Regions from separate parts of the Mus musculus genome. Here regions 1, 2, 3, 5 and 6 are each reported to be linked to region 4. Evidence: microRNA targets listed by miRTarBase, many of them from high-throughput screens and not tested one by one. Region 4 holds a microRNA gene; each other region holds the end of a gene's coding sequence. Distances are from middle to middle.
What was found. Region 4 holds the annotated microRNA mmu-miR-3064-5p (UCUGGCUGUUGUGGUGUGCAAA, at 3,480-3,501, shown strand). A microRNA usually pairs through its seed, bases 2 to 8, with sites in the 3' UTR of a target mRNA and lowers its output. Matches are read on the target gene's strand: a 7mer-m8 pairs with bases 2 to 8, a 7mer-A1 pairs with bases 2 to 7 and ends in A, and an 8mer does both.

Region 1: the mRNA of Mprip is a reported target of mmu-miR-3064-5p. Seed matches in the 3' UTR shown: 7mer-m8 at 1,603-1,609.
Region 2: the mRNA of Nwd1 is a reported target of mmu-miR-3064-5p. Seed matches in the 3' UTR shown: 8mer at 3,694-3,701, 8mer at 2,423-2,430 and 7mer-m8 at 1,952-1,958.
Region 3: miRTarBase lists Camsap1 as a target of mmu-miR-3064-5p. Seed matches in the 3' UTR shown: 7mer-m8 at 2,930-2,936.
Region 5: miRTarBase lists Comt as a target of mmu-miR-3064-5p. Seed matches in the 3' UTR shown: 7mer-m8 at 3,309-3,315.
Region 6: the mRNA of Cbwd1 is a reported target of mmu-miR-3064-5p. Seed matches in the 3' UTR shown: 7mer-m8 at 3,666-3,672.

The regions. Positions count from the first base shown.
Region 1 is chr11:59,774,716-59,779,715 of GRCm38, reverse strand. It overlaps Mprip (myosin phosphatase Rho interacting protein), which reads right to left. Exons shown (of 24, transcript NM_001368931.1): 24 at 1-4,200. The coding sequence ends at 4,129. Among named protein-coding and RNA genes, the nearest start is that of Gm51899, 8.0 kb to the right of the region's middle.
Region 2 is chr8:72,711,125-72,716,212 of GRCm38, reverse strand. It overlaps Nwd1 (NACHT and WD repeat domain containing 1), which reads right to left. Exons shown (of 19, transcript NM_176940.5): 19 at 1,467-4,620. The coding sequence ends at 4,322. Among named protein-coding and RNA genes, the nearest start is that of Sin3b, 9.6 kb to the left of the region's middle.
Region 3 is chr2:25,925,428-25,930,515 of GRCm38, reverse strand. Camsap1 (calmodulin regulated spectrin-associated protein 1) reads left to right here. Exons shown (of 18, transcript NM_001372499.1): 18 at 488-3,678. The coding sequence ends at 790. Among named protein-coding and RNA genes, the nearest start is that of Kcnt1, 50 kb to the right of the region's middle.
Region 4 is chr11:106,781,149-106,786,236 of GRCm38, reverse strand. It overlaps Mir3064 (microRNA 3064), which reads left to right and starts at 3,478; the gene lies at 3,478-3,544. Ddx5 (DEAD box helicase 5) reads left to right here. Exons shown (of 13, transcript NM_007840.3): 4 at 1-11; 5 at 105-170; 6 at 701-842; 7 at 941-1,101; 8 at 1,185-1,357; 9 at 1,713-1,823; 10 at 2,075-2,136; 11 at 2,219-2,278; 12 at 3,544-3,768; 13 at 3,981-5,088. The coding sequence ends at 4,387.
Region 5 is chr16:18,403,659-18,408,746 of GRCm38, forward strand. Comt (catechol-O-methyltransferase) reads right to left here. Exons shown (of 6, transcript NM_001111062.1): 6 at 3,224-4,382. The coding sequence ends at 4,179. It overlaps Arvcf (armadillo repeat gene deleted in velocardiofacial syndrome), which reads left to right. Exons shown (of 18, transcript NM_001272029.1): 13 at 1-81; 14 at 176-263; 15 at 477-530; 16 at 802-887; 17 at 1,444-1,563; 18 at 1,949-3,418. The coding sequence ends at 1,551. Among named protein-coding and RNA genes, the nearest start is that of Gm15764, 7.4 kb to the right of the region's middle.
Region 6 is chr19:24,916,364-24,921,451 of GRCm38, forward strand. Cbwd1 (COBW domain containing 1) reads right to left here. Exons shown (of 15, transcript NM_146097.3): 14 at 4,658-4,787; 15 at 3,553-4,339. The coding sequence ends at 4,230. Among named protein-coding and RNA genes, the nearest start is that of Foxd4, 18 kb to the left of the region's middle.

The DNA of each region.
Region 1 (5,000 bases), 47 Mb from region 4:
TGCTCCAGCCAGTTCCCCTAAGAAAAACACCCCGAGAAACCTGAGGGCAAGGTGCCAAGAGTCCCTCATAGTACTGGTTTTCCTTGAGTGGCTCTATGCAAGTCTCACAGAATACTTTAAACAAGAATCAGAGCTTGCTGTGAGTGTGGGCAAGGATATCTTCAGAGTCTGTTGAGTAACCAAAACTTTAAAAGGCATTACTTATTAACATAGTCTTTTTTGTTGTTTAATTTTTAGGCAGTTTTTACTGTGTAAATCTTTTAGAACTCTCTATGTAGACCAGGTTGGTCTTGAACTTAGCCTGCTTCTCTGCCTCCCAAGTGCTAATTAAATGTGTGTGCTACCATGCCTCGCCAACTAATGGTCTTGACATTTGAGAGGGGTTTGCACTGAACACTGCCTTTACATACCTTCAAAAGGGGTATTTTAAAACTCACACAAACTTTGCACAAAAGTTCCTGCACCATGCCTTAGAAATACTTAATATTGCTTGCTCTGATATACAGGAAAGGCTGAGCAAGTGAAGTGCAGGCCATAGGCTGTCCTGTATGTATGCTGGGAGCTCTAATGAGAAAGGCTGTATGAGTCCCTACACTGATAGCCTCTAAGTAGCTTACTAGGTGATGTCATCTTTACAGCATAGCATGAACAGCTAACCCTCCGCTGGCCAAGAGGTAACTACTGACTCTCCACTAGCAGAGTCTGGGGTTTGGGTGTTACTGTTGTCCCTGTAGCTGCCAGCAGACTTTGGTGTGCAGCTTGCACTGGCTTACTTACATGGAGTATGGCATGAGTGGGAAGGCTGCATAGGGCCTCTGGGTGCTTATCCAGCCTGTCTTTGAGAGCCAGGCTTAGTTGGAGGTCAGGTGTGTGGGGCAGGCCTGCAGGAATCTAACTAAGCTGATGCCCTGGTTCACACCCAACAGTGCAGGCTGTGTGCTAGCCAGCTACTTCCCTCGGCGCCAGCTAGGTGGCAGCAGTGAGGCGGTGCTTTCTCTGCAGTTCCAGGGTAGAAAGAAGTCAGCGCACCATCTCCCCCTGTAGAGAGGTTAACAGTAGTACACATTCCTTCAAATATCTTTCATACCCATTTGTTTCCTAGTCAAATCTCTCAGGCTCCCTTTGGACAAATGTTCCAAAGACCACAAGTGTGCTCTCTGTAGTGCTGTAGTTGAACCCCAAATTTTATATATTTTATATCCATGCCCTTAGCCCACCTGTATGTGAGATAGTCTTGCTATGTAGCCCAGACTGACCTTGTACTTTGGAGCGTCAGGTGGTAGGAGTACAGACATGAGTGAGTGCGCCCAGTTCAGTGTTCTGCTAGATCCAATGGAGTTTGCCAACTCTGACCTTTGTTTACACTCAGTGAATGCACACATTCCTAGCGTTCTTCCCTCTGGGGACTCCCTACTTCATGGGGCTCTGGCCTCCTATTATTGTGGCATTGTGGCCACAACCATACTGGAAAAGGTGCAGCCAGTAGCCCTGTGTGGCAGATGTGCTCGGCATCACACGTGCAAAGATGAAGTTTTTTTTTTTTGTTTTTTTTTGTTTTTGTTTTTGTTTTTTTTTTTTGAGACAGGGTTTCTCTGTATAGCCCTGGCTGTCCTGGAACTAACTTTGTAGACCAGGCTGGCCTCGAACTCAGAAATCTGCCTGCCTCTGCCTCCCGAGTGCTGGGATTAAAGGCGTGCACCACCATGCCAGGCTTGCAAGATGTAATTTAAGCATATATTTACATTCACTGTCAAATGGTATGTTCCCTGTAATGGTAGTTTGCTTGTAGATGCTGGTAGACCACAAATGTGTAAAAGAAAGCATGCCACTGACTGACTGTACTGGGAGCAGCCTGTGACTTCTTGATCTACACTACCCATTCTCAGCCAAGCATCCTCTTTTACATATGCCTGAACCAACTCCATTTGCACATTCCATACCTCTTCTCTGAACACACCAACTTCAACTTCTTTCCAGGGAATGGGAAGCCTGTAGAGGGGTCAGGCAAAAGTGAACCTGGCTCAGGGAGTGAGGGAAGGGAATGGACAGAAGACATGTGGCAGTCTAAAATAAACTGCTGCAGTGGGCCGGCAGTTCAGGGACTCAGGAAGACCAACTTCTTGTTTGGTTCATTTTTGCCAGAAGTCACCATCAAGAAAATCAAGATGCACCCTGATCCTGCACATGTTACTGCTCAGACTGGCGTAGACAGTGGGGGATGATCCAGGAATGTCTGCCAGTTCAGCATTTGGCCAACATACCAGATACCCACACGTGAAACAAGCCCTAGAGCAGTGTGTGCTCTATCACAGCAAAAACGAGCCTGCAGTAGGAGCCCTGAGTGACAGATTAGATGGGTGCAGCGTGCCTGTCTCCCAGCCCTTGCCTCTGACATGTAGGTACTTGTACCTTCAGCAAAGTTCATATCCTAGGATTCTGAGGTGAAGAGCAAAAGATCAAGTGTCCTTTTGAATGGTAGGCTTGGCATCTTCCGCAGGCTCTTTGTAGCATCCCAGGAAGCACAAGGCAGGAAGATAATGCAATGGGGCCAGAGGGTCCCAAGGGCAGCAGGATAGCTGCAAGGAAACCGTATGAGAGAACAGGAGTCCTCAACGCACAACCCCAGGCTCCTGAAGGCTAGCCCACTCTGAGCTCAAAGCTTGTTTTAACAGGTCTGACTTGCCCATAATGCTGAAAACATAAATGACCACTGAGCATGTGCCAGAGTGGAACTTAAAAACGTGTGAAAAGGGGAGCCCAGGGCTTGCCTGCTGGTCAGTGGCACACTTTGGTATGTAACAAATCCGTTATCTTGAAGTTTCGACCTGCCTGTCTATTAGGCCAGCTAGACCTTGTACGTCAACTCATGTAGAACCTTTAGGGGACTCATGAGTTGAATTTGTACGCTCAGAGACCATCCATCTGACCCACTTAACACTAACAAGCCAGGACTAAGAAGCCAGATCGCATATCTAGCTATGAGGCTATTGCCTCTCCCATCTGACATGGGGACTCCTGTGTGCTGCATCTTACAGTATGAATGTTTTCTTATGAGAATAGAGAAAAATGTTTTTGTTGGTTTGTTTTTTAAAGAAAATGCTGCAGACTGCTTTGGGTAGTTTCAGGTCCTGTTCAGCTAGAAAAGCAGAGTTAGCACAGGCTCCCTGTCAATGGCTCCATGAGAAGCAGACAATTCAAGGGACCCTTCCAGAGCCCAGACTAACGAGGGTCCTGAGCACACACTGCTGCTATCACCAGTCCTGACAGTCTGTCTTTGCACACGGGCTTCTCCTCACCCTGCCAAGCAGCATGGCAGCTTCTTTTCAGACAGATTAAACCCCAGCAATGTTCCCCTCCAGAGGACTTTGAGGACCCATCACACTTGACAAGTCTGAAGCTTCAGGCTGCAAGTCACTCTTCCGGGCCACCAGAAGACCAGGATTAGCACAGCAAGGGAGGCACGAGCGGAGGAAGGAATGAGAGGGGCCGGGGCTTTTGTGCAAGATTTAATAAAAAACCAAAATAGGAATGGTTGCTTTCAACATTTTCCAGGTTGTGAAGGATTTGCCGGATTATCTGGGTATGGTTCTAAGCTGCATCAGTGGCCAGGTACAAAATGCTGTCCCCCTCCCACATCAAAAGGAAGTGGGCCAGGCTGGACACTTTCCTAGGCCCCTCAGAAATCAGGCCAGCCTACAACATTCGGTGGCTCTGCTCTGACCATCAAGGGTGGTGCTCCGCTGTGTGCGGCAGAGCAGAGCCACTGGCAGGTCCCCACATGTGCACTCTGAGGCAGGGCTAGCTTATTAACAGGCTGCTGTGCCTTAATACTGACAGTGAGTGTGCTGGGAGGACAAGGGGGCTGCTCAGGTATCAGCGGGGAAACCGTCCCACTCTACTGCTTGCGCGTGACTAATCTGAGAATACCATGGGAAAAAAGCTGTGATAAAGACAACAGGAAGTTGGAATTGACAGGGAGGGACTGGAGCAAGCACCCCACAGCAGTCTCTCATGCATCCATCCCCACAGTTAATGACAGCAACAATGAGATGCACAGGTGAAGATGAAAACCACGCTTGGCTTGTGCTGCCACCAGCTGGGAAGGATGTGTCAGTGGAATGGATGCAGCTAATCTTTCTTCAAGTCCCTGGATTCAAAGAGCTTCAAGCGCTCCTGCACCGTCAGGCCTTCCTTCAGACTCTGGTGGAGACAGAGAGGAAGGAGCAGTTAGGTGTTGGTGCAGCAGGCGTAGTGGGCTTCAGTAGCAGGTGCAGGCGAGGGATCCTGAGATTAGTGGGCATGCGAGGGCAGAAGCCCTGAGAGAATCCCTGGAGAAGTAGTGTGACTGGGATTTGCTTTTTCCTGTAAAAATGTACTTGGGTGAGAAAGGGGAAAATAATAAAGAGAAACAAGACCATGTGTCATAGCTCAGTTCTAGCTTAGGGTTGGTTCTTCAGACAAAACCACGAAACACTTGGGTGGAGGACTGGAAACCTGGGCACCTATCATTCTTCCTATATATGGAATGTGCATGTCTCATTCCTTTGTCTTTATGAACTTACTGCTTTAAGACAAGGGGAATCCCCAACAGACCACCAGATAGAGCTATCAACACATTACACACACATACACATATACACACACACACACACACGCATGACTTAACTCCTGTGATCTTGGTATTGTTTTTTAAGGCAAAAAACATTTTACTAACTGGGGAACAGAATATTTACCACATTTCTCTTAAATATCTTTCCTCTTCCCCTAAGTTTTCATTTCTGGAAGAAAAAAGGAACTCCAGTTCTTAGAGAACTGGCAATCAACATATTTTTAGCATGGTCAGGTCAACCTTGATTCTTGTTGGCAATCAACCTTGTCAGGCTCAGCCTCGCTGTAAACACAGGTTATATTAGGAGAGGGGCAGTCAGTGCTCCACAAGGTTGAGGCCCAGCCTCCTGCAGGGTATGAAGAAGGAACTGTGCTGCGGTTAGTGTCCTTAT
Region 2 (5,088 bases), not on the chromosome of region 4:
TGAGTTTGATCCCCAACAACCACTTGGTGGGGAAAAAAAACAACTCTTACAAGCCGTACTCCAAGATCCACATATACCTCATAGCTTTACCTCCTGCCCCTACACACAAATAAAATAAAATTATTTTGAGCACATTCAGAGACAGACCAAATGCACCTTGCATTTTGAGATGGCCAAGAAGGCCTAGGGACAGGGCAGGCGACTGTGATGTAAGGGGATGTATGTGCCAGGTTGGTAAGGGATGACCAACCCTGGTCACTGTCACTTTGACTAGATATGGACTCCCTTGGAAGTCTGTGAGAGCATTTCCAGGGAGCTTTAACTGAGGACAGAAGACTCACCCTGAACAGGGGTGGCACCATGCCATGGACCAGAGATCTAGAATGGATTTTAAACAACAAAGTATCTCCCCCATGTGAGCCACAGCTATGAGCCCCTCCCCTCCCCCTACCCCGGGCTTTCACCGTGGTGGACTGGAACTGCAAACCCTAAGCCCAAAGAAACCCTTCCCTGTTTAAACTACTGAGTCAGGTGTTTGGCTCACAGCAACTAAATAACCCTGGAATAGCCAGCTGTCTGCAGTGGGTTTAGTGAGCATAGTCTGTGTGGCATGTTTTCATCCACAGTGCCTACAGGAACAGGGGTCATGCTCTGATGACCAGGGGTCACACTCTGACATTCACACAGCAGCAGAAACTGCTAACATGCTCCTCATACCCTGTGCTCTCCCCAGCCACCAACCCAGAACATAGTTCATAATTTAATCTCCTTCAGGTTGTTTCGATGAACACAAGAATTTTCTTTTGTTTTGTTTTGTTTTGAGACAGGGTCTTGCTATGTAGAACACCCTGGCCTCAAACTCAGAGATCCTCCTGCCTCTACCTCCCAAGGCTGGGACTAAATGCTTGCGTGACCATGCCCCAGACATTGGAATTTTAGGCCAGAAGCTGTGCATCAAAACTTTCCACAGTTTTGATATAATGTCCACAATTCATAGAAAAGTCTTAACAAAAATGTGGCCTTCTTTCCCCTTCAGGGGTTCTCTGCTCAAACTACAGGTCCTTCAATTAAACAGAGATGGTATGGCTGGAGACTCCTAAACTAGCAGTCACCAACACCAAAGTGGGTGGACAAAGGACTGTGGTACACTCAGTGATAGGACAGTTCACAGCCATAGAGAAGAACATGAGAGACTATCATTTGTAGCAAAACAGACAGAACTGAAGGACATCATGTTCAATGAGTAAGTTGGCTGCACAGTGACGAACCTCATTCCCTCTCATACCCTGACTTAAAAGGATATGGAATTGTGAGGACCAGCTTTGGACAGAGACAGAAGGTAGATTTAAAACAAAGACCAAGTTTGCAGCTACTTGCATGCTGAAAATATCTTGTGGGTCTTCATTAATATATTACAATTAGTACATGTTAGTAAAAAAGTATTATTTTTAAAAATCTCAAACAAATTATTGTTCAATACATGTGCATATATTTTTAAATTACAGCTTAAAATAGATCTTTAATTTTATTGTTATTATATTATTACTACTATTGGTATGCATATGAGTGCATGGTGGGGGTGTCATCACCATGGTGCTTACCTTAGTGAATGTGTGGAGTCAGAGAGCAACTCTGAAGTCGGCTCTCTACTTCCACTCTCTGAGTGCCAGGGATTGAACTCAGCCCATCGGGACTGAGTAGCAAGTGCTGTTACCAACTGAGTCAGCTCATTGGCCCATAATTTTTAAAAATATTGATCTTAATTCTGTGTGTGTGTGTGTGTGTGTGTGTGTGTATGTTTGGGCAGGTATCTCCAAAGGCCAAAAGGCCTTTTGTGTGCCATCTGATGTGGGGGCTAAGATGGATCAAACTGCTGAGCCATCTCTCCAGACCTTTGTTGTTGTTGCTGCTGCTGCTGCTGCTGTTGGAGACAGGAATTCTCTGTATAGCCCTGGCTGTCCTGAACTCACTTTGTAGACCAGGCTGGCCTTGATCTCAGAAATCTGCCTGCCTCTGCTTCTGCCACTGCCACTGCCACTGCCACTGCCACTGCCACTGCCTCTCAAGTGCTATGATTAAAGGTGCACACAACCTCTGTTTGCCATAACCAGTAATTTTTTTAAAAAAATAAAATTTGACACTAACATTTTCAGAATTGCTAAAGCATGCATTGGAATCCTTATTTGGGAAGTAACTGAACAAGGTATCTTCAAAGGCCTCATTTTGAAGCTGGAATGTGACTGAGCAGTAAAGCCCCTTCCTGGATTCCCCCAGTAAGGGCTCAGGGTATGGCTTGAGATATAGCACTTGCCTTCAAGTCCTGGTTCTGTATCCAACACAGAAAAACAAGCTGTTTCTACTGCTGCTTTCACTGAGTCTGTCTAGTGTCCCATGGCGTGAAGGGGGCCTCTCACCTCTAAGGTCTGGCTGTAGCAAGGCTCCAGGCACAAGACCGGCTCACTAGATGGCTGTGAGCACTGTGGAGAAAGCCATTTCAAGGCAGAAGGTCTGGCAGCAAAGCAGGTAGATGCTAGCATGTCCTGATGTGTCAGGGAACTGAGTGAGACAGCATCTTAGCTGGGCACAGTGGTTATAGTTGTCCAAGCAGGAAATGGAGGCAGGAGGATAAGACTGTGCCAGCACTTTTGGCTACACATGGAGGCTGGTGTGGGCATCATGAGTGTTCATGTGTGCCTGAGCACCCATGTGGGTACATGTGATGTGTATCTGAAGGCATGAGGTTGAGTCAGGAATAATCATTGACTTCTCTTCTACCTTATTCATTGTGGCAGGGTCTCTTAATCAAACCCAGAGCTCACAGATGTGTCTAGCTAGCTAGCCAGAATGCTCAGGATCCTCTATGACCTTATTAGCTTTAACTGTCAACTTCACATAGCCTAGAGTCACCTGAGAAGCAAGTCTTAATTGAAGGGTTGCCCAGGTCAGACTGGTGTGTGGGCCTGTCCATGGGGCATTGTCTTGACTGCTAGCTGATGGAGGAGGGAGCCCACTGTGAGTGGTAAGTGGTTCTGGGGCTTATGAAAAAGCTTAGCTAATCAGGAGAACGGCAGAAACTACATCCTCTGTGGTTCAGGCTTGTGTCTTGAGTGAGAATGGCTCCCAGAGGCATATATATTTGAGTGTCTGGCCACCGGAGAGGGAACTGTTTAAAAGGATTCTCATGATATATCTTTCAGCTATTCCTGCAGCACCATGCCTGCCATGTGTGCCACCAGGCTCCCTGTCGTGATGACAGTGGACTAAGCCTTTGAAACTATAAACAGTTCTCCCAACCCCATTAACTGCTTTGCCATGGTCATGGTGTCTCTTGACCATCACTAATTGATAATGACGGAGACACTGCTGTATGACCGCGGCTGAGTCCCCTAGTCAGAGGTCATGCTGTGTGCAATAGCCAGCAGGCTTGCCTTCAGTTCCTGCTTGAGTTCGTTCCCTGACTTCCCTAAGTAAAGAACTGGGTGTGTGGCCTGGGGGTGAAAGCCAGATGAACCATTTCCTCCTCTAAGTTGCTTTTGGTCGAGTTTTTCAGTCACAGCAGTGGAAGAAACAAAAATAGCCTGTTCCCTGAGGCTAGGCTTACAGGTTGGTGACAGTGTGTACAATGTTCTTGTATTCTGGGATGCAAGGTGATTTAAGCCCTGAGCCAGCACCAGTCTTTTCTCTCTACATAGCTCTGGCTGTCCTGAAACTTACTATGTAACCTAAGGCTGGCCTCAAACTCACAGGAATCCTCCTGCCTCTGCCTCCTGAGTGCTGGGATTGAAAGCTATGCCACCACCAGATCCTAGGAGGATTTTTTTTACACACCATTTTGAGTCTCACAGCAGGAGCTGCAGACAGACTAACTATGCTGTGTGTTTAACTATGCTCTGTGTGGCTTTGCAGTATGGATTATGGGCTATTACTGGAGGCTCACTGCTATGAAGACAGGACAGCACCCATCACATCCCAGCAGTCTTTCACTCTCCATCACACAACACTTTGACAAGGTCACTCTTGGTCCCTACAATGATTTCAGATCCTCTCACAGCTAGTAACTGGCTCAGGGATAAGAATTGCACCAGTACAACTAAGAGGCAGAGCCAAGCCTTTGAGCCAAGTTCTTAGAGTAAGGTGGGAGATGCAGGCTGCTGCTCACTTGAAGGAAGTAGGCCTTCAGAACCCACAGAAAAAGCTATGAGGAAAAATGGAAGATGGTTGAGGGGAAGGGGGGGTCCACATGGCACCAGCAGAGAGAGTCAGTTGGCTTCAACCAGGTGAGCCATGGCTAAGTCACTGAAGCCCCTGCCTTGGTAGGCTTTCAGAGTATGAGGCAGACCTGTGAGCGTTTATTTGACTTTGATTCCTTTCCCTCTACGGCCACTGGTTCTGCATCCTGGGAGGCTTCTGCTGCAGCCAGCTCTTCCCTCTGCCTGGTCTTTACCAGCCACACTGCCTTCTTGAAGTTCTTGAGAGGGTCTTGCTGGGAGGCTCTGACTGACGGGCACTGGAAGCGCTCACGGATGAGATAGCCGTGGCTTGTGGGGGCCATGAAGCCATTGGAGGTAGGGATGATTCGGTTGATCACAGCATGAACAAACTGGACAGCCAAAAGAGTGCCTGTGACCAGGAAAGGGCAAGCCATGAGAAAATGGGGCCCAGAGATGGAAGGACATTGCAGCTGGTAATGTGCTTGGCCTGCAAACACAGGGCCTGAATTCAATCCCTTAACACGCATGCATGTGGAGGTGCACACTGGCAGTCCCAGCGCTCTGGAGGCAGACATGGATGCTCCCTGGGGCTCCCTGTTTGACCTAATCATTGGGCTCAAAGTCCATCATCTCCAGTACATGATTACCATCCATAGAATATGGGTATACACCCACCCTCATGGAGACCCAGGGAAGAAGGCTGTTCTGTCTCCAAAGGGGTCTACAGACCATGTGAGAAGAGTGCTATGGCAGCAGGCCATCAGGTCCTGCATACACCTCCTAAGCTGAGGGGCCCAGCTAAAGGCAGAAACAGGACCAGTAAGACCCAAGGTGACTCTTTTCCCTTCAGATCAGAGCTTGGTCCTAGGGAAAGAGC
Region 3 (5,088 bases), not on the chromosome of region 4:
ATGGTAGTCAGGACTTGGAGAGAGTGTGGTCACAGGATGTCATTTGGTACAGTGTGATGAGCCGCAGACAGTTTTCGCAGTTTCCTTGAGAACAGACTCCACGTCCACTGTGGAGAGCAGCTGACTACATCATTTCATATCTGCCCTCATAGTCTTCTTTATTTTAGCATTCATTGTGAACTGGTGCTCACTTGGTTTTGATTTACGTTTCTCCACAGCATGGAGCTGTGAAGCATCTTTTTATATGATTCCTCAGTTTGTCTCAGCAGCATTTTTCCTTGCTTGCTCAGAGTCTTTAGTAAAATCTCATTGGCCAGCCATAGCTTTTTTGAGTGGGGAGGCTGTGCTGAACCTGTTTTGTCTGTCTTAAAAGAGGATGTTTATTGGACCCTTACTGCCTTGGAACAATACCTACCCATTGGACAACAATGGGAATCTAGGGTGTAAGAGTGACATTCAGTGTTTTCCATCTCTTCCTACTCCCCAGGAGCTGGAGAAGTGTGATGCCAACCACTATATTATTCTGTTCCGAGATGCGGGCTGCCAGTTCAGGGCACTTTACTGCTACCAACCCGACACTGAAGAAATCTACAAACTCACTGGCACGGGGCCAAAAAGCATCACCAAGAAGATGATTGACAAACTATATAAATACAGCTCAGACCGAAAGCAGTTTAACCTGATCCCAGCCAAGACCATGTCAGTCAGCGTGGATGCACTCACGATCCATAACCACTTGTGGCAGCCCAAGCGGCCCACGGTGCCAAAGAAGACCCAGACTCGTAAGTGACCATGGCAACCAGGACTCTGAGAGGTTGTGCTGACGGGATCCCTATTTATTATTTTCATCTACTTGGTACGAAGTTGATGAGCCATGGACAGTTTTCTACAGCGGTTCCTAGAGAACAGAGAAGATGCTCTCTCCCCTGCACACATGGATGCTGGGCATGACATATGCAGGAGTGAGTCCTGTGCTTTCATGGGCATGGCTGCTGTGGCCCTGCTGACCACTGAGATCCTCAGAATAAGGGACACCATGGAGTGAGATCCTGGCCTGTGGGCCCCTCACTTGAAGTTCTTCAGAATAAGTTAAATGTGATCTGCTCTCTGGCCTCCCTTCACCCCTGTGCACATTGCCTGATGCCCCATGTTGGCCAGCTGTAATCGTGCGTGATTATAGGGCCAAGGCTCATTCGGGTCAGGGTGTTTGAATGTCTTCATAAAAGGAGTTCGTATGGGAAATCTTTTTCATTTTAGAAATTGTATAATATTTATTGACTGTGTCTACTGCCAACCTTTATATCCAGTTCTAAGATTCTGAAAAAAAGAAAAGAAAAAAAAAAACCTGTTCCTTGCTGCTCAGAAAAAGTTTACTGAAAATGTCAGTTCACTAAAAGCACTGAAATCGGTAAAGTTTGTCTTCTGCTAAAATGACGTTTACATATGTGGAGTGAGTATTTCTGCCACACAGTTGGGGGCTGTGGGTACTGCTAGCTGATGCTGGCCTCATTGGAAGCCGGCAGCTAAGCCGGCTTAGCCACCACTGGTTAGGTCTGGGGAATGTGCTGGCATGTTCACTCTGATAAAGGCAGATTTTGGTATAGTAGCGTACTTTCCACCCTTGGCTGCCGGTTCCTTTGTGGTGCTGTGAAGGCCTGGCTTACCTACCACGGTTCTTGCTTCTGGAGGAACAGCGTGCTCAGTGCAGTGTGCAGTCTCAGGTGAGGTGGGTAATTCTGCTTTTTGCCTCTTTTAAAACTTGGTGGTTATTTGCGGTTATTTCAGAATGGTGTAGCTGCTTTGGGTCTCTTCCCCGCTGGCCCCTGTGGCAGCTGCCTGCCTCAGAACAGGCGTTCCTGGGGAGCAGAGGTGCCCCAGCGATGGATCAGCTATGTGAAGACCCTGGAGCCACTTGTAGTTTTGCACATTTCTTTTTGAGAGTGTTACTTGAATCTGTCTTAACTGCAGGAGAGACTTGAAGATCATAGAGGGAACTCAGACATCTTAGTGTTAGCGCTAGCAGTGTCATGTAGACAGAGGAAAGGAGCATGGGACAGAACGCCGGAGGCGTGAGGCGAGGTCTTGTCTTCTCTTCCTTGGTGACTGTGTATCCAGTCAGGGGTGGCGCTGTGCTGTATGAGCATTAAAGTCTGTGGCCACCTGTCACTGGATGCCCTGTGTGTCTTCATTTCTCACTGTGCACTTGATGTTACCATATTTATTTTAAGAGAGCACTAAAATATAATAAAGTAATGAGCTGGCTTTCTGTTAACCATGTGTGTGGTTGTCACAACTCCTTCTGCTGACAGTGTCCCACATCTTCTGGCTTCAGGGCAGCTGCGCATGACTTTTGGGTTACCTAGGAATTTATTTTTCATGAAGAGTTGGAAGACCTGGTGTAGAGCAGGAAGTTGCATTTCTGCTCGACTTTTAATACGGTGACTTGGCATGTGGCCTGTCCTGAAGGCTGTCTCAGAACGCAGGGTCTGCATGTGAAGTACAGTGCCAGTGTCTCAAGGCCGGGCTGTGGAGGCCATGTGGCTTGATGGCTCAGAAGCACTCGTGCCTTCTGTGTTCCATGACACAGAAGTAGTTTTGATTTTTTTTTTAATTAGGAAGTTTCCGGTACAGGATTTTGTGGTGGTGATCTGGAGCCTCCAGGGTGTGGGTACACTGTCTTGACCAACTGTGCTGGGAAGGCTACTCAGCTTTTCGGGCAGAAAGTGCCAAGAAATTGAATACATGACGACTCATGCAGCTCATTCCTTAGTAACAACAGACCCCCCCGAGGAGCCCAGGTCGGTTGGCATTAAAAATATTTCTCAGCCGGGCGGTGGTGGCGCACGCCTTTAATCCAAGCACTTGGGAGGCAGAGACAGGCGGATTTCTGAGTTTGAGGCCAGCCTGATCTACAAAGTGAGTTCCAGGACAGCCAGGACTACACAGAGAAACCCTGTCTCGAAAAAATAAAAAAAAAAAATCTCAGAACTAGATGTGCAGGTCTACATGTCTGTGTCGATGTGGGATGTACCTGTGTGTGCGTATATGAGTATGTGCACACAAACATGTGCATATGGCCTGTGTACACGTGTGTATGCATGCCAAAGATAGCGTTTCCAGTGTGACCTTTTGACCTGGTATTCTCGGTGTGTTCCTGCAATACAATCTCCAATCAGACTTTTAAGGCCCAGACTGCTTCAGGCAACATTGAAAAGTGGCATAATACAAAATTTACTTCTAGATTGTTTGAAACTATGGTTGTTACTTGGAAGAAGAAAGTGTTAAAAGTCCATTTTTCTTGTTGAAAGTTAATCAACTTGAGTAAACCTTTATAGATTGGTGCTGGTTTACCTAGTGAAATGGCTTTGATCTTGGTTACCTGAGCCTATTGGTGATTTCATTCTATCTGTGTCCAGTACCACATGTGTAAAGCCAGTTCTAACTCCTGTTTTGTGACTATGGCCAAGTCACAAGCCCCAACTGGGAACGAGCCATGCCCAGCATCCTCTTGTTTCTCACTGATTCCTTGGCAATAAACTTGTACCTTGCTGACTCAGGGTCTTCCTGGTGTCTGAGGTGCACTCTGGAGGTGCTTTTGGTATCTGGTATCACTGGTGTTCTGAGCTTTGTGTTGCTGTGATAAATGAAAACCATAATAAAAGCCACGACCAAATACAACTTGGGGAAGAAAGGGTTTGTCTGGCTCACAGATTACAATCCACCACTGAGGAAAGCCACGGCAGGCGCTGAGGCAGAGGCAGTGGGGAATGGGTGCAGCCCCCTGGCTTGCTCCCCCCGGCTTGCTCTGCTGCCATTTCACACAGGCTCGACCCTCCTAAACCACACAGACAACGTGATGGAGGCCGCTCCTCAGTGGGTGTTTCTCCCAGGTCTAACTAGGTTTGTGTTGACAAAAGCTGTGTCAGCTCTCAAACCTGTGAGAGGTATTCGGCATCTTCCGGTGCCACCATGCCACCATTGGGAGGCCTGTGCAAGGGTATGGCTGGGGATGTCAGAGCTGTGATGCAAACTTCCCTGACAATACACTTAGGGCATGGATGACAGGTTCCTCCCCTAGCCCTGTCATCCCTCCTCCTATTTGCCAGGTTGTGGCCTGGGAAAGTACAGTCAGTGTCTTTACCATCCAGGGTCTACTTTCCCTAGTTCCCCAAGTGGTAAGGAGAACATAGCAACACCTGCATGGTAAGGAAGAACATGTAGCCCAGGCTGCACCCCGTGAATGGTTCAAGTCAGGGTGTAGTAGTTCTTTGTAGTTAGGGTGGGTGGTACAGACCTTGCAGCAGTATGGTAGCATCTTTACTGAGACCCTCGTCACACTTGTTCTGAAAGCTGGTGCCTGAGCAAAGATCCTGGTTGGTGTCCCTCTGCGCACCACAAGCTTCAGAGGGTGCCTGTCCCCACTCTAACATCTGTGATATCTCAGGTTTGTCTCCTGGCTGGAAAAGGCCCTGTCGTATTTTCTGGCATATAGAGAAAGAAACTCTCCATAGACAGGAGAGTAGTCCCTTGTGTTTGGGAGGGAAGGGTGGTCTCTCATGTTTGACTATGTGGGCTGATGGAAGCCCTGGGTAGCCACTGCTACTAGTTGTAGACACAAAGCTGGGTGGCCTGAGAGAATGGCCCTGTATTTGCTGTTGTGTGGGGATTTAGGACCAGCCAAGCTCCCAGGTCTAGAGCTGAAGACATGGGCTTCTGTGTGTTTAAGTTGAACTGATAGAGCTATTGTTTTGAAAGACAGCTTGGTTTTTGGTCTCTATGCTGGATCTGTAGTTCGAGGTAGATCTTCCTAAACGGGAGTGGGACAGCCAGGCAGTGCTAAGTGAATTCTCACAAGGTGTTTGCTGGGCTCACCTTTATCACGGCCTTATCCACTCACACCAGTCCATTTACCTACCATAGCTGCAGTTTTGAGCTTGTGACAGTTGTCGTGCTGCTATCTCATAGTGACATTTAAGCTGTTTTTGTGTTTGTTTCCTCAACTGTTTGTTTGGTTCACAAGCAGCCAGTTTACTGTTTCTTTTCCCAGGAGAGCAGACCCTGGCAGGAACAGTGCTCTGGGGAGATGTA
Region 4 (5,088 bases):
AAACATTATCTGTAAGTCTAGGAAAACTTGATAAATTGTGGCAGAGGTGACCTTAGATATATAACTATTTTAATCCAATTTCTATTATTTTTACTCTTCAATAGTATTTGCTGCCTGCCATTGTACACATAAACCACCAGCCATTCCTAGAGAGAGGTGATGGGCCTATTGTAAGTATTATCTTAAGTTTCCCACCATATTTGCTAAAACTCCTTTGACTTTCATATAGGGAATATAGGGTTGCCAGTATAAACTAGCCACTTAAAATTAGTATCCAGCCCAGGCGTGGTGGCACACACCTTTAATCACAGCACTGGGGAGGCAGAGGCAGGTGGATTTCTGAGTTCCAGGACAGCCAGAGCTACACAAAGAAACCCTATCTCGGGGGGAAAAAATTAGTATCCAAAGACAGTTAGTTGGATCAGCCAATTATAGATACTTGTCATGAGCCTGATCAAGATCAACTACCACAAGGAGAGACCAACTTGCAAAAGTTGCCTTCTGGTTTCTCCATGTGCTTCCACACACAAAAATTTTATCCTGAGAATAGTGCCTGGGAGGTAGAAACTGGAGAATTCAGGAGACACTGTCTCAAAAAAAAGTCTTATGACCACCTGAATTCTAATTCCCAACACACGAAGACATAGGGTCTTAGTAAACTGTTTTATACTAAACACTTTTTTTTGTTTTTCAAACTTAGTGCTTGGTGCTGGCACCAACTCGAGAACTGGCACAGCAGGTGCAGCAAGTGGCTGCTGAATATTGTCGAGCTTGTCGCTTGAAGTCTACTTGCATCTATGGTGGTGCTCCCAAAGGACCACAGATTCGTGATTTGGAAAGAGGTGTGTGACCATAAAGGGGGATCTTTGTCACTGATGGAGATGATGGTTTTGTGTATTATAGTTAAAGCATCTACTCCTTTTTATTTATTTAATTAAAGGTGTGGAAATCTGTATTGCAACACCTGGAAGACTGATTGACTTTTTAGAGTGTGGGAAAACCAATCTGAGAAGAACAACTTACCTTGTCCTTGATGAAGCTGATAGGATGCTTGATATGGGATTTGAACCCCAGATAAGGAAAATTGTGGATCAAATAAGAGTAAGTATCTTTATGTTATCATAAAAATCAGTTCTAGGAATGCTCTTAAGATTGAAGTGTAACTTGCTTCCTTAAATCTTCAGCCTGATAGGCAAACACTAATGTGGAGTGCAACTTGGCCAAAAGAAGTAAGACAGCTTGCTGAAGATTTCCTGAAAGACTATATTCATATCAATATTGGTGCACTGGAACTGAGTGCAAACCATAACATTCTTCAGATTGTGGATGTATGTCATGATGTCGAAAAGGATGAAAAGTGAGTTTACATTTTTACAAATTGAGAAAAATCTTACATAAACTAAGAGTAATCAATTCTGAAAATTGTCTCAAAATAAAATTAAGGTAGTGTGCTATATGTTCTTTTAAAAGTCCATTTGTTGGTGATATGGCTTGGTGTGATATGAAGAACTTGCTTGGCTTGCATGAGGAAAACACTCATAGTTTTTGAACCTAGTCACTACACAAGCACGCATAAAGTGATACACCTGAAAATCTGTATGTGTGGTGGCTTAGTGGGTTTGACATTTGGATTCACTAAGCAAAAAATCAGGGTTGTGTTTGGTTTTGTTTTTATATCCTTTTAAAAATGGTGAGTTTTTCTTCATCTTTAGGCTTATTCGTCTGATGGAAGAAATCATGAGTGAGAAGGAGAATAAAACTATTGTTTTTGTTGAAACCAAAAGAAGATGTGATGAACTTACCAGAAAAATGAGGAGAGATGGGTATGTGGTTTCCTGAGTCAAAGCAGACTTAAAAGTACTTTGATCTGGGGCTAGTGTTTTTTGGGAATCATGCGCTGTGATATAGGGGTAATTGTATGGATTCGTTCCAGTGACTTGTAGTAGGCTCTGGGTTGCAATGCTTAGTGGGAAAACACTTGGCCAAGATGAAGTACAGTGGGAATAGATATTGGTAGAGTCTTGACAAGAGTTTTAAGTTGGGTATACTACTGATAATTTAATTCTTGGTATAGGTGGCCTGCCATGGGCATCCATGGTGACAAGAGTCAGCAGGAACGTGACTGGGTTCTAAATGGTATGTATTTCAAATAAGATTAGTTTGTAGCTTGATAACATCATTTGCTTGCATTAATGATTATTCATGGTTGTCTTTATAGAATTCAAACATGGAAAAGCTCCTATTCTGATTGCTACCGATGTGGCCTCCAGAGGGCTAGGTTAGTACAAACTCGAATTCATGGCTTGGTTTCCCAGAAGATCTCCATGTAGTTTTTTTTAAAGAAAGTTTATTGCTTTCTTTAACCTGCATTTTTTCTAAGTTTTTTTCACATAAAGGTGCAGTCTTTGTGGCAAGGCCTAGGCATGACAATCGGAGGACTCGAGGGGGATGGAGGACTAGTGATCGGCTGGCTGCTTCCAGTCGATTAGAGAGGTGAAAAGCTGAAAGTGTGCCAGTAATCTTCAAAGGGCAGAACATACCACCTCTGCCCCATAAACTGTTCTCTCCGGGGGAAAAAAATGGAAGTTACCTCACAGTTCACTGCCGTGGTATTTCATCTGTCCCATGCTTTGCATGATTGCCATGGTACAGCATTGTTTCAAACTGTTCACTGTGATCTGTGGGTCTTTGAGTTTCAGTGAGTTTGCTGAAATGTCGAAGAAATATTTCCAAACTTCAATGTTCAATGAAATTTTTGTTCAAGTTTGAAATGGAGAGAGCAGCTTTAAAAGCCTTTTACAAATTGGTGAGTACTGGCACATGAGACCTAGAGCAGGACCAACTTCTCACACATAGTCAGTGGGAAAAGAAAGTGCCTTGAAAGTTCCTCCCTCACCTACACAGTAGTCGTCATGTCGAGACCTGCCAGAGAGAGACACATTCTCAAGTGAATCCTGGCTTCTTGGAAGCGCTTGCCTAGACGAGACACAGTGCATTAAAACAACTTTTGGGGGACAGGTATGTTTTTCTTGCAGCTGCAGTTGTAAGGTCTTGGCAAGACAAGCAGTGTGGCCAGAGTTTTGAACTTCTGATGAGTGTAATGCAAAGGACCTTTACATTTTTGTTAAAAGGTCCTCAAAAATGAGCACATGAAGAGATTGCTGAGAAACTTTTAATTGGCCCTACTGCGCAGAAGCATTCAGATGTCACTTGATGATCTGTAAGGGGACTGTCAATTTGGGAATGTGCTAAGGAGAACACACATTCCCTTGATAGGCTGTCAGTGGGTGGGTGTTAAGACAGCTGACATGTGCAAATTTTTTTGTTGTTTTTTGGGTGTTTTGGTTTTTTTTTTTTCCTACCCTGCCCTTTTTTCCTACCTCAATGGTGTTCCTACAGGAAATGGATAACCATTTTAACTGTATTTTTTTCAGCCCGTACCTTCTTGGGAATACAATTGTCTAACTTTTTATTTTTGGTCTGGCTGTTGTGGTGTGCAAAACTCCGTACATTGCTATTTTGCCACACTGCAACACCTTACAGATGTGGAAGATGTGAAATTTGTCATCAATTATGACTACCCTAACTCCTCAGAGGATTATATTCATCGAATTGGAAGAACTGCTCGCAGTACCAAAACAGGCACAGCATACACTTTCTTTACACCTAATAACATAAAGCAAGTGAGCGACCTTATCTCTGTGCTTCGGGAAGCTAATCAAGCAATTAATCCCAAGTTGCTTCAGTTGGTCGAAGACAGAGGTTCAGGTAAGGATCTTCGTAAGAGATGTTTCTGGTAGGTGGCAGTTACCTCTTGTCTACAAAGTGGGATCGGAAGAATGAGTACTTCTTATTTTGAAACCTAAAGAATCTAAAAGCACTTAAGACCCAACATAAATAGAGCTATCTAACTCTCTCCTATCTTACCACACTTATGCCACAGATAAAAATTGATCAATTTCCACTTACTTTCTTGACAGGTCGTTCCAGGGGTAGAGGAGGCATGAAGGACGATCGTCGTGACAGATACTCTGCAGGCAAAAGGGGTGGATTTAATACCTTTAGAGACAGGGAAAACTATGACAGAGGCTACTCTAATCTGCTTAAGAGAGATTTTGGGGCTAAAACTCAGAATGGTGTTTACAGTGCTGCAAATTACACCAATGGGAGCTTTGGAAGTAATTTTGTATCTGCTGGCATACAGACCAGTTTTAGGACTGGTAATCCAACAGGGACTTACCAGAACGGTTATGATAGCACTCAGCAATATGGAAGTAATGTTGCAAATATGCACAATGGTATGAACCAACAGGCATATGCATATCCTGCTACCGCAGCTGCTGCGCCTATGATTGGCTATCCCATGCCAACAGGGTATTCTCAATAAGACTTTAGAAGTATATGTAAATGTCTGTTTTTCATAATTGCTCTTTATATTGTGTGTTATCAGACAAGATAGTTATTTAAGAAACATGGGAAATGCAGAAATGACTGCAGTGCAGCAGTAATTATGGTGCACTTTTTTCGCTATTTAAGTTGGATATTTCTCTACATTCCTGAAACAATTTTTAGGTTTTTTTTGTACTAGAAAATGCAGGCAGTGTTTTCACAAAAGTAACTGTACAGTGATTTCAAATACAATAAATGAAGGCAATGCATGGCCTTCCAATAAAAGATATTTGAAGACTGAATTAAGTGAAATTGTACTTTATTTTACATATATAATGTCATGTACAACTTGGCTTAGATAGTGTTTTTGGGGGGGATTTTTGTTTTGGTGTTTATTTTTACACAAGGAAAGTTGACTACTTCCCATTCCTGGATTTAGGAGAGGAACTCAGAAGGCCCTTAGGATGATCTGTTTGTATGGGAAGAAGTTAGAGACAATGGATTTTATAATTCCAGATTTATTGGATAAAAGCTTTGTCATTTTTCAGTATCAGGGAAGTAAGTCATTTAATAGCCTATTTTCCTTAAGAGTGAACTACAGGACAGTAACTATATAAATACATGTTGATTTCTTTTGCAAAACAGTTTTAAGTAATGACATTTTTGCTTTATCAAAATTTTATTCCATCTCTTGGTTTT
Region 5 (5,088 bases), not on the chromosome of region 4:
CACGTGCTACAGACTGTATGGAGCTACAAGGAGCTGCGTGGAGCCCTGCAGAGGGATGGCTGGACGAAGTCACGCTTCCAGGTACAGCTGCCCCGCCTTCTCTCTTACTTTGTCACGTCTGATCCCAAGCAGTTTCTTAGGCCTTAACTCTTGCTTGTGTTTTGTGACTCCTCAGTCTGCTAGCACTGCCAAAGGACCCAAAGGGACACCAAGTTCTGGCGGCTTTGATGACAGCACACTGCCACTGGTAGACAAGAGCCTTGGTGAGCACAAGCAGGGGAGAGGGACATGAGACTTACCCTGAGGCTTAAGGGTAGCTCCCACCTGCTAATGCACAAGGTAGGTGGGGTTAAGGAGATAGGACAGACTCCTGACAGAAGACACTGAGCACTGTTCTGTGGCGAGCATGTCAGCATGTCTGTCCTGCCCTCCCCATGCCTGCACACTGCTCATGGACACCTGCTCATGCCTTGCAGATGGGGAGAAGTCAAACACCCGGGATGTGATCCCCATGGATACCCTTGGTCCAGGTGAGTGCAGGTGTGCAGGCAAGAGGACTGGGGAGGACCACCCGGTTTCATGGTGTAACCCTGGGCGATGCCGAGGCCTTGCTATGATAAGATGTCAATTGGAGAAAAGATAGGTGGTTGATTTAGAGGCCTCAGGACTGGTTGGAGCTGGCACTTAGACCAGAAGTCCCCCATCCCAGGGCTTTCTGTATTTGGACTGAAGGAAGATCACCTATCCCCATGGTGACTTCCCCAGAACTCCATTTATTCCATGCTCTGTTCCACCCTACAGATGGTTACGCCACAGTTGACCGGAGGGAGAGGAGGACACTGGGCAGTGACTCCACAGGGGACACCTCTGAGAAAGAACTATTGAGAGTGAGTAACAGCAAGCAAGTGTCCAGGGAGGCTTGTCAAGAGAACAGCCAGATAGTGTTGAGCCTGATCAGAATTGGAGGACACGGCTGGAGTGGCACTCACTTGCAGGGCCCAGGAAGTAGCCTATATATCCATCATCAATCAGACTTCAGCACTGAGGGGGTCTGGTGCACGCACCTGCCGCAAAGAAGCAGACAGGGGCAGCTCTGCCTGGCCACAGGCTGCGTAGGTCCAGAGAGTCCGAGCAAACGGATTTGTACCTTTCTCTTACATGTGTATGGGCAAGGTGTCTACTGTGGTCCCCTGGAAAAGGCAGCATCTACCACCTGTGTGCCAGTATCCTGGCTTCACGTACCAGCCTCTGGGTACATTCATGTGTGAGCCATAACCAACCCCAGAGCTTGGCTTCCTTGTACTGCCTTGGCAGGCCCTCCATGCCACCCCTTCCTTATATACATCAATCAGCCTGAACCAGTCTAGCCTACCCTTAGTTGCAGTTAACCTGCTTTTATTTTCTGCTTCTAACTCCTGTCTGCCCACCCACCATGCACTGCAGCCCGATCCTGGCAGGAAGGCCCCTCCGCCTGGGCCCAGCAGGCCCTCGGTCAGGCTGGTGGACGCCGTGGGGGACACTAAGCCTCAGCCTGTTGACTCCTGGGTCTAGCTTGCATGCCTGGTACGTTCCTTCCTCTGGTTTGCCCATCCTTGGACTAGGGCTCCGTGTTCATCTCTGCTTGCTGCATGACTGAGCTCCCTATGTGATCTCTGGCAGGACTTGACAACAGCCCTGTTCCGGTCTCTGGAGATCAGGGTCCTGGGGAAACAGGCCCCCTATTTCCTCAAATACCCCCAGCACAGGGCCCTGTGAGGACCCGCAAGACAGGACTGGTTCTGGTGTCAAGGGTCTTGGTATGGCCCATCCCTCACTCCACAGCTACTGCTTCTGTATGGCCTATCAAGGCAGCTCCCTGTATGGAGGTCCCAAGTCACCTTGCTACACTTTGCTGCCTCTTATCTATCTGGGCTCCCGACTAAACATCTGTCTTTGCCTTCCTTTGCAGGGCCCTGGCCCAGCTGTTTGTTCTTAGGGATCGCATCGAGGTAGCTGGAAGAGGGCCAGAGGGCCCGCCATCTTGAGCAGAACCAGTCTTGGAGCCAGGAGCCCCACCCTGCTGTGGCAGGGTGGCCAAGCCTCTTGTCCTACCTTACCCTACCCTCTTCTCTACTCTTCTGCTCTAACTCTCCAGGTCTGAGTTAGCTGTTTACTGACATGGTGCTGTGTGGTAGGAGAGGAGGCTGGGGGGAGGTCCCCATGCACAGCCACAGAGGAGCAAATACAAGCCTGGATTGGAGGTCCTGGAGCAGGCAATGGGACAAGTAGGGGGCCTTGGAAAAGAACTTGGGCTCCCAAGGGTGGCTGGAGTACTACACTGCATGTAGGCTGACCACAGGGAGGGCTGCTCTAAAAGAGTCCAGACAGGGAAGTTTAGGAGGCAGCCAGATTGGGGGTAGTGGCAAGCTGTGCTTGTCACCAGCACCCCCATCCTTGGATTCCTGGAACACCTTCCCTCTGCAGCATACTCCTCCTAAGCTGCCTGTGGCTGGGGCCACCCTGGCTGTTGCATCTGCCTAGAACCTCAAGTAACCTCGGGGCCTGACTGCCGGCAGCAGTGGGGGGAACTGCTGTTCAGTGCCTGCTGTTTGTGACTTTAAAATGAAGAAAACTGACAAAATGCATTAAAAATGAAACCAAAATAAGACTATCAACAAAAATTGAAATTTTTGTAAGAAAATTTAAAGATTAAAAAAGCAGCAAAGAACTGCCTGTCTTCTGCCTTGGCTCACCAGGAGAGGGCACAGTCCTGTGCTAGCTGAGCCACCACTGCCCCCTGGTGAAGATACAGTTCCCTCAAGTCCCATTGCAGGGAGGGGGTGGAAGGGGTATGGGGGTTGTGCTCTGCCCCTGGCCTCAGGCACGTCCCACTGCTGTCACTCCTGGCTCCTGTGTGCCGGCTGACCAATATGGGCATATGTGGGAGCAGACAAGATGGAGCTGACCTTTGTTTCTAGTCTAGGAAATGGGCCCCTACTGAGGCCTTGAGGAGCCTCTTGAAAGAGATGGGGGCTAGGGTGACTCTTAAGCTTGGGTTGGCACTTCCTCAGAATCTGGGTGCCTGGCAGACATGCCTCAATGGTGTGAACTGGAGAGACTGTTTATCCCAGAGACATCGGGGACAGCGTGGCCCCATGCCTGTTTAGTCAGAGATGAGTACAAAGGCTGTTCTGCGCCAAGTAAGAGCAGTGTGGTAGCTGAAAAGAATAACTCAGTGAATTTCTTATATCCAAATATTTAGATCTTTAATTTCTTTTATAATATAAAAGAGATTATGACTTTTTTTTTCAAAGTATTTCTATGTAGCCCTGGCTGTCCTGGAACTCACTGTGTAGACCAGGCTGGCACAGAACTCAGATCCATCTGCCTCTGCCTCCTGGATTCTGGGATTAAAGGCATGCGCCATCATACCTGAAAAGTTTGTGACTCATTCTTAAGATGAAATGTGGTATGAGTTGCTGGTGACAGTACCGTCTGAGTCGTTGCTGCCATTGGTGACAGCCGAATGGTATCTGGATATGTTCAGTTTCCTGACTTCTTGCTGAGTGATGGCAGTGCCTAGGGATCCCACACTGAAACTTTGTAAAAAATCTCCTCTTCCAGTTAGTGAGGCCATCAGGATGACACCTGCTTTGATTTTTTTTTTTTTTTTTTTTTTTTTTTTTTTTTTTTTTTTTTTTTTTTTTTTAAAAGATTTATTTATTTATTATATGTAAATACACTGTAGCTGTCTTCAGACACACCAGAAGAGGGCATCAGATCTTGTTACGGATGGTTGTGAGCCACCATGTGGTTGCTGGGATTTGAACTCTGGACCTTCAGAAGAGCAGTCGGGTGCTCTTACCCACTGAGCCATCTCACCAGTCCCCCTTTTTTTTTTTTTTTAAATCTCCCTTTTTGTTCTTGGGTGCAGAGGATTCACCGTGAGGGGTTTTGCGTGCCAGGCACGCACTGTGATCTACTGCATCTCTGGCCTCAATGCAGCCTTTGATGCACAGGTGTTTTCCAGGGGTATTGTAGTGGTTTGCATGGTGAGCTCACTACCTTTAATGTGCCAGTGTATGACAATCTGGAGCCACAGGCCCTGAGGAAAGGCCCCAGAAGCATAGAGGGGGTCAGAGTGAGTGTGTGTCATCGTGCAGAAGGGAGCTGGGACGGAAGCTCATCAGGCTGAGTGGTCAGGACTTCACGGGGCTGCTGCCTGGACCCTGGTAGACTGCCTTCTCCAAGCCGTCCACCACTTTCATGTACTCCAGGTATGAGCTGTAGTGTGTGCACTCGAAGCTGCTGCTCCCCCTCACATACGCCAGGAAGTCAGGGGTTCCCGGGACAATGACATTGTCAGCTAGGAGCACCGTCCCCTTGCGCAGCAGGCCACATTCCTGCAGGGGACAGACAGGGAGGGTCAGGAATGCTTGGCAAGCACAGTGCAATCCATGGGCAGCTGCTCTCCCATGGAACCACTTCCAACTCCTATTCTTCCTCGAATCCATCCCCAGCCCTAGAGGAGCATGTAGGCCACACAGTGAAGGTTTGGAGGTTCGCCAGTTTCCCTCCAACACTCTATGCCAAGAATATGGCATCCTCACCAACAACCCTGCCCTTGAGGATCTGCTCTGGACTTTTTTTGGGCCAGGGAAGACACTAGGTGCTAGGCTCTGAGCAGGAGGGAGTCGTTCCTGGGCCCTTGGAGCAGTGGGTCTAGAACTTGTGATTGTGAGAATCCCATGTAGGATGCTTGTCTATCCTCTCTGGGAAGTATATCAGCTGATAGCATACAAATAACTGAAGTACCTGCCAAGAAAGGGGTGGGAGGGGGCAGGGGTAGGGAGAGCCAGGAAACAGGACACTTGAATATCTGTTTGCCCAGGAGGCTTAGGGGGTTGTTTTTAACATAATCATGAAACAAAAGATAATAACAGCAGTTCTGTCTGATGGGGTCACGTCTGTAATCTCAGCGGTCGGGAGGCTGAGGCAGATTCATTGGTTCCAGGCTACCCGGACTATGTAAGACATGTAAGGCACTTGTCTTCAAACATACTGGAAGCAACCCAAAATGGAAAGTAAAATCCAGTAAGTAGCCCTTGG
Region 6 (5,088 bases), not on the chromosome of region 4:
ATAACTGCATGCTATCTCAGCTTGAGGGGTCTGCAGTGACACATAACTGCATGCTATCTCAGCTTGAGGGGCCTGCAGTGACACATAACTGCATGCTATCTCAGCTTGAGGGGCCTGCAGTGACACATAACTGCATGCTATCTCAGCTTGAGGGGCCTGCAGTGACACATAACTGCATGCTATCTCAGCTTGAGGGGCCTGCAGTGACACATAACTGCGTGCTATCTCAGCTTGAGGGGCCTGCAGTGACACATAACTGCATGCTATCTCAGCTTGAGGGGCCTGCAGTGACACATAACTGCATGCTATCTCAGCTTGAGGGGCCTGCAGTGACACATAACTGCATGCTATCTCAGCTTGACGGGCCTGCAGTGACACATAACTGCATGCTATCTCAGCTTGAGGGGCCTGCAGTGACACATAACTGCATGCTATCTCAGCTTGAGGGGTCTGCAGTGACACATAACTGCATGCTATCTCAGCTTGAGGGGCCTGCAGTGACACATAACTGCATGCTATCTCAGCTTGAGGGGCCTGCAGTGACACATAACTGCATGCTATCTCAGCTTGAGGGGCCTGCAGTGACACATAACTGCATGCTATCTCAGCTTGAGGGGTCTGCAGTGACACATAACTGCATGCTATCTCAGCTTGAGGGGCCTGCAGTGACACATAACTGCATGCTATCTCAGCTTGAGGGGCCTGCAGTGACACATAACTGCATGCTATCTCAGCTTGAGGGGCCTGCAGTGACACATAACTGCATGCTATCTCAGCTTGAGGGGCCTGCAGTGACACATAACTGCATGCTATCTCAGCTTGAGGGGCCTGCAGTGACACATAACTGCATGCTATCTCAGCTTGAGGGGTCTGCAGTGACACATAACTGCATGCTATCTCAGCTTGACGGGCCTGCAGTGACACATAACTGCATGCTATCTCAGCTTGAGGGGCCTGCAGTGACACATAACTGCATGCTATCTCAGCTTGAGGGGTCTGCAGTGACACATAACTGCATGCTATCTCAGCTTGAGGGGCCTGCAGTGACACATAACTGCATGCTATCTCAGCTTGAGGGGCCTGCAGTGACACATAACTGCATGCTATCTCAGCTTGAGGGGCCTGCAGTGACACATAACTGCATGCTATCTCAGCTTGAGGGGCCTGCAGTGACACATAACTGCATGCTATCTCAGCTTGAGGGGCCTGCAGTGACACATAACTGCATGCTATCTCAGCTTGAGGGGTCTGCAGTGACACATAACTGCATGCTATCTCAGCTTGAGGGGTCTGCAGTGACACATAACTGCATGCTATCTCAGCTTGAGGGGTCTGCAGTGACACATAACTGCATGCTATCTCAGCTTGAGGGGCCTGCAGTGACACATAACTGCATGCTATCTCAGCTTGAGGGGTCTGCAGTGACACATAACTGCATGCTATCTCAGCTTGAGGGGTCTGCAGTGACACATAACTGCATGCTATCTCAGCTTGAGGGGTCTGCAGTGACACATAACTGCATGCTATCTCAGCTTGAGGGGCCTGCAGTGACACATAACTGCATGCTATCTCAGCTTGAGGGGCCTGCAGTGACACATAACTGCATGCTATCTCAGCTTGAGGGGCCTGCAGTGACACATAACTGCATGCTATCTCAGCTTGAGGGGCCTGCAGTGACACATAACTGCATGCTATCTCAGCTTGAGGGGCCTGCAGTGACACATAACTGCATGCTATCTCAGCTTGAGGGGCCTGCAGTGACACATAACTGCATGCTATCTCAGCTTGAGGGGCCTGCAGTGACACATAACTGCATGCTATCTCAGCTTGAGGGGTCTGCAGTGACACATAACTGCATGCTATCTCAGCTTGAGGGGCCTGCAGTGACACATAACTGCATGCTATCTCAGCTTGAGGGGCCTGCAGTGACACATAACTGCATGATATCTCAGCTTGAGGGGCCTGCAGTGACACATAACTGCATGCTATCTCAGTTTGAGGGGCCTGCAGTGACACATAACTGCATGCTATCTCAGCTTGAGGGGTCTGCAGTGACACATAACTGCATGCTATCTCAGCTTGAGGGGCCTGCAGTGACACATAACTGCATGCTATCTCAGCTTGAGGGGTCTGCAGTGACACATAACTGCATGCTATCTCAGCTTGACGGGCCTGCAGTGACACATAACTGCATGCTATCTCAGCTTGAGGGGCCTGCAGTGACACATAACTGCATGCTATCTCAGCTTGAGGGGTCTGCAGTGACACATAACTGCATGCTATCTCAGCTTGAGGGGCCTGCAGTGACACATAACTGCATGCTATCTCAGCTTGAGGGGCCTGCAGTGACACATAACTGCATGCTATCTCAGCTTGAGGGGCCTGCAGTGACACATAACTGCATGCTATCTCAGCTTGAGGGGCCTGCAGTGACACATAACTGCATGCTATCTCAGCTTGAGGGGCCTGCAGTGACACATAACTGCATGCTATCTCAGCTTGAGGGGCCTGCAGTGACACATAACTGCATGCTATCTCAGCTTGAGGGGCCTGCAGTGACACATAACTGCATGCTATCTCAGCTTGAGGGGCCTGCAGTGACACATAACTGCATGCTATCTCAGCTTGAGGGGTCTGCAGTGACACATAACTGCATGCTATCTCAGCTTGAGGGGCCTGCAGTGACACATAACTGCATGCTATCTCAGCTTGAGGGGCCTGCAGTGACACATAACTGCATGCTATCTCAGCTTGAGGGGCCTGCAGTGACACATAACTGCATGCTATCTCAGCTTGAGGGGCCTGCAGTGACACATAACTGCATGCTATCTCAGCTTGAGGGGTCTTGATGCCCTTTTCAGGTCTCCACAGGCACCAACACACGTGTTCATAAATTTAAGAAATATTTTTTAAAAGGTCATCTGTGAGGCCAGTAAGATGGCTGAGCTACAAGGTCAAATTGCTTGCCATAAAACTTTGGCAATTAGAATTCAGACTTGTTTTGGGTTTATAATCCCAGCTCCAGATTTCTACAGTGAGATGGGAGGCAGAGACATGAGAACTGGCTAGAAATTCAGAAGCTGACATGTGTGCAAACACTCACACGCGCGCACGCGCACACACACGCGCACACACACACACACACACACATGCACACACACACACACGCACTATGATATGCACACACACAGATAGCTATCCTTAGTTATGGTTAGTAAAGGAGTGTACCTCATTATTTCTCATATTATACAGAAAATTAACACAGTTCAAAATAGGCAGGAAGAATTTAATGCCAGCAATAAGACTAAAAATTTAAAGTTCAACAATTATAATCTTCTAGGTGTAAAACAGAACAAAGAGCCGAAGTACCAGCCGGGCGTGGTGGTGCACGCCTTTGATGCCAGCACTCGGGAGGCAGGGCAAGTGGATTTCTGAGTTCAAGGCCAGCCTGGTCTACAGAGTGAGTTCCAGGACAGCCAGGGCTACACAGAGAAACCCTGTTTTGAAAAAAAAAAAAAAAAAAAAAAGAGCCAAAGTACCATCACACTATTACTGATTGTAAGAGATGGTTTAATTTCTTTGACTCTTTAGGAACATTAAAAACTCATTCTCCTAAAAACACAGTGAGAGAGTTGAAGAGATGGATGGCTCAGTAGTTAAGAGTGCTGGCTGTTCTTCCAGAGGACCTGGGTTTAGTTCACAGCACCCACATGAAGACTTACAACCGTCTGTGACTTCAGCTCCAGGAGATCTGGTGCCTTCTGGACTTCAGACACTGAATGTGCAAAGTACACAGACATACATGCAGGCAAAATACTCACACACATAGCATAAAAATAAAGGTTAAGCTGGTTTTAAATATAATGATAGCAATTTTTTGTTACTATCACTGTATTCATTGTATCTCAGCAATAACCTGAAGTTTTTAAGAGAAAATGAAAATGTTTGCCATCATTTTTACAAATAATGATGGATAAGTTGTCAGCAGTCATACTTAAACTTCAAAGAAAATTCTGGAACTTTTGTGAAATACTTGCCTCAAAAAAAACCTCCAGAGGATATATTTTATGAATATCAGATATTTTTTATAATAATTTACTACAATGTTATGTGTTTTTATAAAATAAATACTATTATACGTATACTCCCAAATCACAACAGCGGTAGTGGATCCAGGATTTAAATACATCTTTGTTTTTCTCGTCAGTTCTTCCGGTAAGAAACAGCTTCTAGTGCGATGGACAAACTCCATCTCTGCCTGGTGCTGTCCTTTGCTCTTCTGCCTCTGCCACAGCAGTGAGGAAGAGTTGTTGAAGAACATCCTTATCTAAATTTCTACCTGAGAATACAACAAAACAGTGATTGTGCTTATTAAAAGAATTGTTCACCTATCAATTCCAAAGTTAAACGCAGGCACTCTACAAAATCAACAGTAACTGCTCGATTCCTTTCACAACTTTCTAGTTAAGCCTTAAACCAAGTTAGTGCTTGAAGTAAGCACTGTTCTAAGTTGTCTTAAAGAGTAAAGTTCTAACAAAATCTTACATTATCCATGATTCAGACAACTAGACAAGCTTCTCAGTTAATCTGGTTAAGTAACACAGTACGTCTCCTTCCAACCCGGCTGTGCACTTTCCTTCAGAAGTTTGTTACCCACCAATGAAGACCAGCTGACACGCTCTCTCCGCATCATCCTTCCAGTTCACTAGGCTTTCTTCCAGGTCGTACAGCTCATGGATGCCTTGCACAATCATTTGCTGTGGTTTGTCTTTGATAGACACCAGTCCCTGTTCAAAGAACAATGATCACTCAGTTCTACCTCAAATTTGCAAGCAGAAATAGTACATCAAATTTGAAAATACTACTTTTCAAAAAACAAACTCATAACAGAGCAATAAAAATATCACTTGATTCAATTATTTGCATATTTTAAATTCCTTAAAACTTTTGTGTATACTGATACCACTCCCCACCCCCTAAAGCAGGTTTTCTCTGTGTAGCAGTGGCTGTCCTGGAACTCACTCTATAGACAAAACTGGACTCAAAACTCAGAAATCTGCCTTCCTTTGCCTCTTAAGTGGTGGGATT